2 linked regions of the Arabidopsis thaliana genome follow. The protein of the gene in region 2 interacts with the protein of the main gene of each other region in a pairwise test. Each region holds a gene or a part of one and is shown on either strand. Other genes may lie near its edges.

Region 1 (5,151 bases), on a different chromosome or scaffold from region 2:
AACAATGGATCAGACGAAGTTGTGTGGATTCACTTGTTGACGTTGCTACCAAATAACTTGCCAAACTTATTTATCGAGTGTTATGGCATTAGTTACTTCATCTATGACAAGACCACCTTCATCATTTATTGTGCTGACGAGAACACTTATGCGGCTTGCATCTATATTGTCAGGGGAGATTTGCTCAAGAAGTTTGTAATTGACACCATGGTTTTCTGTTGTTATAGCTGTGTTTATGCTCCCAATTTTATCCCCCTTCCTTTAATGTAAAAGTTCTGAATATAATAATAAGATGCTTTATTTATTAAAGCTCTCAAATCAACATTTATTTTATTTCACTAGTAGTTTAAACCAATTGACAAAACCGGTTCAGTCAATGTTACAACTTACAATCCAAAACAACAAACCAAACCGGATAAACACCCAAAATGCCCAAAAAAATAACAGAACATGTGACTAAAGCTTTGACAAACGGATGAAATCTAGGCTCTACGACCACTACAATGATATAATATATGTACTGTGCACTGAAATAATACCCAGCAAAATAGTGATCAGTTCCAAAGTCTAAAAGAAATCAGTATGACTCATTACAGTTTTACCAATCCAACATTTGTCGCCATCATAATCAAAATCACACGATCGTAGTCGTAGAAGCCTTTGCGTTGATCGTTACTTAGAGTGATTACCATTATCGTCACATCGTCATGATATCTCCGTCTCCTACCAACCGGAATATTCGTCAACTCTTCCAATGCGAAGCCTAAATCAAAGTGCCAATTTTCGTCTCCTAACTTTCTTGAACCTTTCAAAAAGAAAAATGTCAATTTTATCTTTTCGTCTTCTAATTTTCTAGTCGGACTAGTTGTTGTTTTTCCAATTTAATGTCGGCTTTCAACTCAGGCGTAGCCGGTGTTTTGGTCGGATTAAAATATTCCAAACTTAGTTTTGTCTAAGTGCTGGATTTTTGTGTTTTCTCTTTCTACATGACTTAAAATTAAATCTTGTTTAGATTATGTATGATTTACTGTCGGCTTGGCTCTTCTAAAGGACTAATATCCTTGTAACTTACTACCGACTGGTATGAAGACTGGTATGAAGTGGACCTTTTAAGGTTTTGAGGTGGAGCTTTTTTTGAAGAATTTTTGAATTGAGATCTAAAGATTCGTTGGAGTCATGGCCAGAATTATAAGAACGTACAGCAAAATTTGGCAGGCCGGCGGCGGTAAACCTATAGAAGGAGCTAGCGATGATGGATCTAAAGTCCAGCGACAAAGCTGAACCATATCGTTAGATATGGCTGATAAAGATCGTGTCAATACTCATCCTTCTCACGTGTGGATACTTTTTCACAAGTGGCATTTTTAACTCTTATTTTTTTTAAAAAGTTGGATTTAGAGTAAGTGGGCTTAATTTCAATTTTAAGTTGTAAATGTAGGACTTTGTTTTATCTGTAATGCCAATTTGGTTTTCCATTTTAATAAAAAATAAATAGCCAAAAATAAGGAAAAAATCTTATTTAATTTTTTAAAATAAGTAGGAATCCAATTGAGTTAATAAATAAATATAAATTAGGAATCCAATTATAATTTGGAGTTAGCTGAGACCTGAGAATTACACGAAATTAAATAAATAAATAACTGCTTCCGTTATATATAAATACAGTCTCTAAAGGAACGTCCTAACAAAATCCACCGTGTACTAAAAAGAAAAAGAAAATAGAAGAGACAGTTGTTAGGGTTTTCTCATCAATCAATCAATCATCATCATCACCCAAATCCTTCCGCCGACGTCTCTTTCTTGTTTCCGTTTTCTCTCTCCGATCTCTGACTCATCCATCGTATTGACCAATTCCCTAATCAAAATCCTTCGAATCTCAATTTGCTTCGTTAAGAAATCTGTAGATCTAGCAGAAAAAATTCATATTTGATCTGAATCTGATAAAAAAACGATCACCGGTTGAATCAAAAAGAATCGAATTTTGTTTTCACTGGTTTGTTTCTTTGAGATTTATATGAATAATATGAAGAGATCGAAGAAACCCAGAGTTTCATGGCCACCAGGTCCTAAGCTTTGTCAGGTATAATTAATCCTTATATGTTCCATGTTTTCTTATCCACTTTCTAATCCCAAATTGATTGATCCATCTCACCAAATCTAAACTCTCGATTATAACAATTAACCTAATTTCTGGATCCTAAAATTTCGATTTTGAAGTTTTCCTTTAAACCCAACGAATTGATTGATACGATCTTGAATCGCTGAATTATTTAATTTCAATATCCAATCGAAAAATGGTGAAGAAACCAAGTCTTGTTTGTTGTTACTTTGACGGCTCTTTTGGTATGTAGAAGGCTTTGATTTTTCTATCTTTGAAGATAACGTTTTAGCTCATATAGTTTACATGAAATTGATTTGAATCAACAAAGATATATTCAAGGTTTTGGATTTGGAAATTTGAATCAACATACAGTTAGATTTAGATTGAAACAAGATATGATCAAGTTTTGAAGTTTGAATGCATCAATCCAATACTCTGCAACTACAAATTTACAATCTTTTTACAGATAGACTTGGGAAGCCTTATTGGTTTAGTTACATAGTTTTGATACACGAAAAAGTCAGCTTTGGTTAGCTTCTAACTATGCGGATTTTGAACAGGTTAAGGTTTTTCGAACAGAGGACAGTCCTGCCAATGTAGCCTCTCAGCCTCAACGTCATAGCTACCCATCTAGGAAACCTCGAGGGCCAGATCTTCCACCTGGTTTTGAAGGAAATCACTATGCAGTTAAGCCTAATGTTTCAAACATTCCTCGCATCAAATGGAAACGACCTCCTCCCAAGGTATATTTTTTATACTGTAAAGAATTGGTGAATCCCTTTTGAATCTTTTTTTATCATATCTGATATTAATATTATGTGTCTTGGACAATGCAGTTCTCTGTCAATGATACTTGGCTGGTTGGATGTGGTGGCGGGAGCTCAGAATGGCAAAATGAAAACTTGAGGATTTCAAAAGTGCTGGAAGCTATCTATCCTCATCGCTCTGCCATCCCTTCTCGGTATTTTACCTTCTTCTCTTAGGTTATTCAACATTGTGTTGGTGTGTTAGTTAGCCTGCTGATTGCATTCTGTTTTCATGTAGACCCTCTGTTTCACCGGCTGTGGAAGCTGAATGCTTTGATGACAGCAAAACTCCTGCCATTCGTCTCACTCCTATTGAAGACGAGAGTGAATCTTCTTCAGAGGAGTCATCCAACAGTAAGGTTGAATCAGGTGTTACCGCAAACAAGCAGGGTCAGTTGGAGACCAAACCTCTATGTTCAACCCAAGAACAGGTTTCTGGTCTTACTGGTCTTGCACCAGACTTGAGTCTGGCTGCTTCTGCAGCTCTGACTGCACTGATGAAAACCAAGGAACAAGGGAGTTTGGTCGATACTGAGCTACTTATCAAGTTCCTCAGCGACCCAAAATTAATCAAGAATCTTATCACTGACACATCAGGTAAATCCTCTGAAACTAAGAATCAGCCCATTGTCACTAACATCAACTCTGCTACTAGACCTGTTCCGCAGCCTGTCAGTGCTGTCACCGCCTCACCCATGGCTAGAAAGCCGCAGCCAGTGATAATACCTCAAGAACACAGTGTTGCAGTTTCTCGGTCTTTTACTAACCCTGAGAGGCGAGTATCACCTCCCAAGCCTGTAAATGGAAGCATATCCCCACCTAAGCCTATAACTGGAAAACCATCTAGTATACCAATGCCCGTTCATTTCCATGTCGGTATAGCTAAAGAACAACCTCAGCCTGCTCGGTTCCCATCGAGTTCTCTGCCAATGAACCTTAACTTCCACCGACCTCCAAATGTTTTCTCAGAACCAAAGGTAATAGTAAATCCTCAACCCCAACACCAACCCTATTCCGCATTCCGTACATCTGAAATGAACTATGTTCAATCATCAATTGGACTTGGAAGGGGTCCTCAAACCGGTTTCAATTCTTATCCAATGAACTTTAGCCGGGCAGATGCAATTGGTAGCGCTAAACCAGTAGTACAACCTATGAAGGGTCTAGACTATTTCAAAAACCTTATAAGGGAACATGGCACAGATAATCATGAAACTAACCAATACCATTCACAAACTGGAATATTCAACGGACGCATTGATAATAATAATAAGATTCATCAACAATGTATCTACTTTGGCACTGCGAATGGATGTAATATGGGAGACAGTTGCACCTATGTTCATGACCGGTATAGGCCCAACTTTGAGGCCGCGGCTCCGAGGGCTAAGAGAATGAAGTTTGGAAGGTATGAGAGAAATGGTTTTTGAACATAAAAAAAAAAATAGAGTTCACTTTTATAGTCTTGTCTATCACTGGTTAAGGAACAAAACCTGAGGTGATACAACTTTCAATTTTGATCAATTTGTGCGCACCAATTTTAATTCATTTAACAAAGTTATTTGTTTAGAGCACCAGTTTAATGACACCAGTTTAAGAGGTCGAGAAAGCCGGACAATATTAATTTAAATCATGATTTCAAAACTAATCTGCGTAATTAATTTGTAGTAAACTATGTCCGGTCTTTTAAAACAAACGATTAACGGAGTTGAGTTTTGTAATCGCTTAAAAAAACTGTTGTAATATATAGCTAGAGTCTGGAGATGTACTGCAAAGTATAGGTAATATGTAGTAAAAAAATACCATCAAGATGACCGCAAAAGATCTCATAAATTAAAGAATTCAAAATTCTACCTTTAAAGGGCAGATTCGAAACGAAGCTCATTAGCTTTCAACACAAAAAGAGGTTATAACTAAAGTAAAAGGCTACAATGGGGTGTTAACAGAAATAAGAAATTAAAATCAAGAAAGCAGAGAAGAGTGTGTCTCAAGTCTAGTAGTCTGCCTTGGCTGCTAATGTGGCAGCTGCACCTCTACGACGACCAGTTCTCCTTGCAGCAATTTGACCAACCTTAGCACCAGCAGATTTATCACGCCTGACCGTACTGGCGTGACCAATGTGCTGGTGGTTTCCTCCTCCGTGGGGATGTTCCACTGGGTTCATCGCAACACCACGTACAACAGGCCAACAGTTCCTCTTCGCTTTGTACTTGTGGTATGCATTTCCAGCCTTGAGAAGTGGCT
Region 2 (4,061 bases):
TAAATCGCAGATTCAAAGGAGAAAGAGAGGCAAAACCATCAAACCTTCTCCGACCGAATCCAACTTGCCTTCTACTTCTAGAGATTCAAAATCCAAAATGGTTGGGCAAGAGGGTGAGCAAAATACAAAACAAAGGAAGAGCAAATGACTTGAAGAAGAAAGTAGAGTGAAAATTTAGATTTAGAGATGGACACGGGAAGAAATTGAGGGGTTGAAGGTGGATTGAGAGAGACGTAGCTTTAGATTTGGGTTTTTTCTGTCTTATTCGGTTTTATGAATAAATTATGATGATTAAATTTTCAGATCTGAGATAGATTGCTCTTAAGTAAAATATTTCTTCTAATTATTGGCGGAATAAGGGATTTTAGCTTCCCGCTTAATGATTTTCTATCTTAACGTTGTTTTAGTGCTATTATATAGTAATCAAATTAAAAAACTATCTTTCATAACAGTTACGAAAAATGATTATCCTCGTCTGCTATCAATGTGGATATTTCTGGTAGTTTATAATTAACTATACCAACAGATTAACTCTACCACACTATGACAGACTTATTTCCATTTTTCTGGCAATTAACTATGTTTTTCTGAGTAATTCTGCTGCCACTACAAATTACTCGACTTTATAAGTCAATTACATTTCTCTATCTTTTAACTTTGCCACCACGTTACAGTATATATTCTCTAATGCTATGTGAGTAAACGGAGAATCCTAATATGTCATGTAACTTGTTTATCAACTTAACTCTGCCACCACTATAAATAACTCAATCACACAACTCTACTGAATATATCTCTACCACGTAACTCAATTAATTTATTAACTTTACCATGTTTCATTAACCCTACCGTCACTACAGCGATAGACTTATGTTATGGTGTGCTTTTTCGCGGGCGAAATACAGTTTCTCTCACTGACATGACATCATCTTTTAAGGAAGATTTGCAAAAATATCATTTTTCTACTATCCTTTTGCTACAATACGCTTTTTTTGTTGACCATTTTTAAACATATATCTTTTCTTGAACAAAAAAAAAACAAATTACCCATCATCTAATGATCAACAATTCGTACAACACATGACAGTAATAAACAGACTTTTATGTGTTGTTTGAGTAACTCACCCAAAAAAATATCGTAGACCAAACAACTTATTTATTTTAATTTAAGTATAATGATTTGTTTTATTTTGAATTGATTTTATTAATTATTAGAGATGTGTTCTTTTTAGAGTCGTGTGACTCTCCCTTTGACTCTTTTAGAAAACAACTAAATATTATAATTATGAGTAATTAAAACGGGATGATTGTAAAATTCCCAAATTCTCAATTAAAAACAATATTTTTTTGGTTAATTTTTTTCTTTTCTAGAGTCTTCTCCGCAAATCTCGTTAATGGTTTTTAAACCGGTGACAGTAGCTGCTTAAAAATAATGTAAGGATGGTGTCGCTATTAATTCCGACAACTCTAGAATTTTGATATTCAAGCCGCATCAGCGACAATAATGTAAGAATTTCGATTTTGGGAATCTAGGGTTTTCGATTAAGAGACTTTTTAACGATATGCCTTAACTGACTTAATCAACACGAATTCGTGATCAAATCGAAAGTCAACATAAAATTGAGGATTGAAATCACTAAATCAAAACTTATGCTTTAAACCAATAAAAACTAATGATTTAGATGACATTTTTAATTTTTTCCTTTTTTTTAACCATTTTTCAAAATCTTTAAATTAAAAAACTTCTCTATCAATCTCCAGTTTTACCGAATTGAAAAAAATACAATCTATAAATTTCTTCTTAAACCAATTACCCATTTCAAGGGTCAGAGTTCCTAAACATGTTGGATCCATTTTGTTGCGAACATCTTTAAGATCCGATAAAAGACTTGTTTGAGAGATCTCAAGGAAGAAGAAGAAGGGGGGAAGCAGATAACATGTCTGCGATTGTTTGCGGGAAGAGATCTCTGTTCGAGGACTTAGCCGCCGCTTCTCCTCCCGTCTCCAAGAAACTCCGTTGCTTTTCTTCATCTTCTTCGTCTCGTTTTTCTCCTCCGATTCCTCCTTCTTCCTCACTTCTTCTCGATCACCTCGCCGCGATTTTCCCCGATATGGATAAGCAGGTCCTTCATTTTTCCGATCTCCATCTTTTTTTTCCTGTTTCGATTCTGGATCATTTTATTGATTGATTGTTCTTTGATTAGGTTTTTCGATTAGATTGAAATGAAATTATGCAATTGTGTTTATCAGTAATGAGCATATCGATAGATGTTTTTGGTGATTTATTGGACCTATTAGAGGAGCATATGTTTCTTCTGATTAGGCTTCTTTATGTCTATGGATGTCTGTGATGGTTTATTGGTGTTATAAAGTTGTTGACATTTGTGTGTGGTAGATTCTTGAGAGGGCAATCGAGGAATGTGGAGATGACCTTGATTCAGCCATTAGATGTTTGAATCAGCTTCGTTTAGAATCTGCCAATAAGAATTCTGATTCTGCTACAAACCAATCTCCTGTTGTAATCCAGGAACCAAATGTTGAACCTCAACAGCAAGGTAGTTTTGTGTCCTACTGATCTCTAAACAGTTTACTAGTTTCAGTGTATTCTGCATAAGTCGTAGACTCGCTCTACAAAGTTTTAATTATGAAACGGGTTTTGGTATTTGTAGGATCAGCCAAGGAGGAACCAAATGTCTTGAACTTGGATGGTACAGAGTGGGTTGAGCTTTTTGTTAGGGAAATGATGAATGCTTCTGACATGAAAGACGCCAAAGCCCGTGCTGCAAGAGCATTGGAAGCTTTGGAGAAGTCAATTAATGCACGTACTGGTACTGACGCAATGCAAAATCTCCAACAGGTGTCTCATCTATCTTTCTTTGTTTCTTTCTTCACTCTTTGTTGATAAGAAGTTTTGTTGCCAGAGATGTATATCTATCTATGAACATCCGATTTTTCAGGAAAACATGATGCTGAAGCAGCAATTAGAAGCTATTGTACAGGAAAACAGTTTACTGAAACGAGCGGTAGTGACACAGCAGAAGCGGCAAAGAGAATCGGAAGACCAAAGTCAGGAATTGCAGCATCTGAGGCAGCTAGTCACTCAATACCAGGAACAGTTGAGAACTTTAGAGGTCTGTATTAAATGTCTTCACCTTATCTTATACAATTTTGTTGTCTTTTTGTCGATATGATTAGATCTAACTTCTAAGTTTTGTTTTGATTGCTCCTTGCAGGTGAATAACTATGCTCTGACGCTTCATCTGAAACAAGCTCAGCAAAACAGTTCCATCCCGGGGCGGTACCATCCAGACGTCTTCTAATACTTTGTGAGGCCCTCGTATCATTTTGTTTCCAGTGTATTTTTCTCTGTTGGTTTGTGACTATTTATATATATTCGGGGAATCAAAACTGTGTTCTTTTGTTGTTGTTGTTGTTGTTATTGTTGTATATATTCTCTTTCGAGTTCAATGATGGATTCCACAGATATAAGACTTATTTCAATCAGTTAACAAACAGCGAATAGAGTTTGTTATGTTGCTAGTAGCCTGGTAATACTAGCGTCAATGAGAGATGTTGACGCCGGTCGTTCATCATCGGCTGACTGTTTTTGTCTCGGCCATAGCCACTTTGCTCTGTTGGAGTCTGGCGGTCACAAGAACTTACGAACAGACCCATAAAGACTTGAGTATTGTTAGAAAACAATCACAACAGTTCTTGAAACAAAACTTTGATATCGAACCGAATTGGTATTGAATTATTTTGGTTCATGGTCGGTTATTCTAGACTAGGTGTACCGATCGGCATATGATTTAGATGAGCTCGGTTTGAAAATTTAATCGAACATATTGGTCTGTTATTCTATCCACGGAGAGGGTGATTTAGAAATCCCCACAGTTCAAACCATGCCTGCAATATTTACCCAACTTGAAATCTTTGAAATCGAACCGAACCGGTGTTTAGTTACTTTGGTTCATGGTCGGTTTTTCTAGGTGAACCGATAGGCATATGTTTTAAATGTGCTCGGTTTGAAAATTTAATCGAACCAATTGGTTACCCAATTT

The links. Proteins that work in one complex are often made in the same cells at the same time.
Region 1: the proteins of AT5G32440 (region 2) and AT3G51180 interact in a two-hybrid assay, tested with the Arabidopsis thaliana proteins (one large-scale study listed by BioGRID).

What each region holds. Positions count from the first base shown.
Region 1 is NC_003074.8:19,011,706-19,016,856, forward strand, and holds AT3G51180 (Zinc finger C-x8-C-x5-C-x3-H type family protein), read left to right. Parts: upstream 1-1,683; 5' UTR 1,684-2,014; coding exon 2,015-2,080; intron 2,081-2,661; coding exon 2,662-2,844; intron 2,845-2,937; coding exon 2,938-3,062; intron 3,063-3,145; coding exon 3,146-4,337; 3' UTR 4,338-4,642; downstream 4,643-5,151. Other genes in the region: AT3G51190 (Ribosomal protein L2 family), read right to left, coding at 4,901-5,151.
Region 2 is NC_003076.8:12,075,077-12,079,137, forward strand, and holds AT5G32440 (Ubiquitin system component Cue protein), read left to right. Parts: upstream 1-1,816; 5' UTR 1,817-1,937; coding exon 1,938-2,123; intron 2,124-2,395; coding exon 2,396-2,558; intron 2,559-2,669; coding exon 2,670-2,857; intron 2,858-2,957; coding exon 2,958-3,131; intron 3,132-3,233; coding exon 3,234-3,320; 3' UTR 3,321-3,527; downstream 3,528-4,061.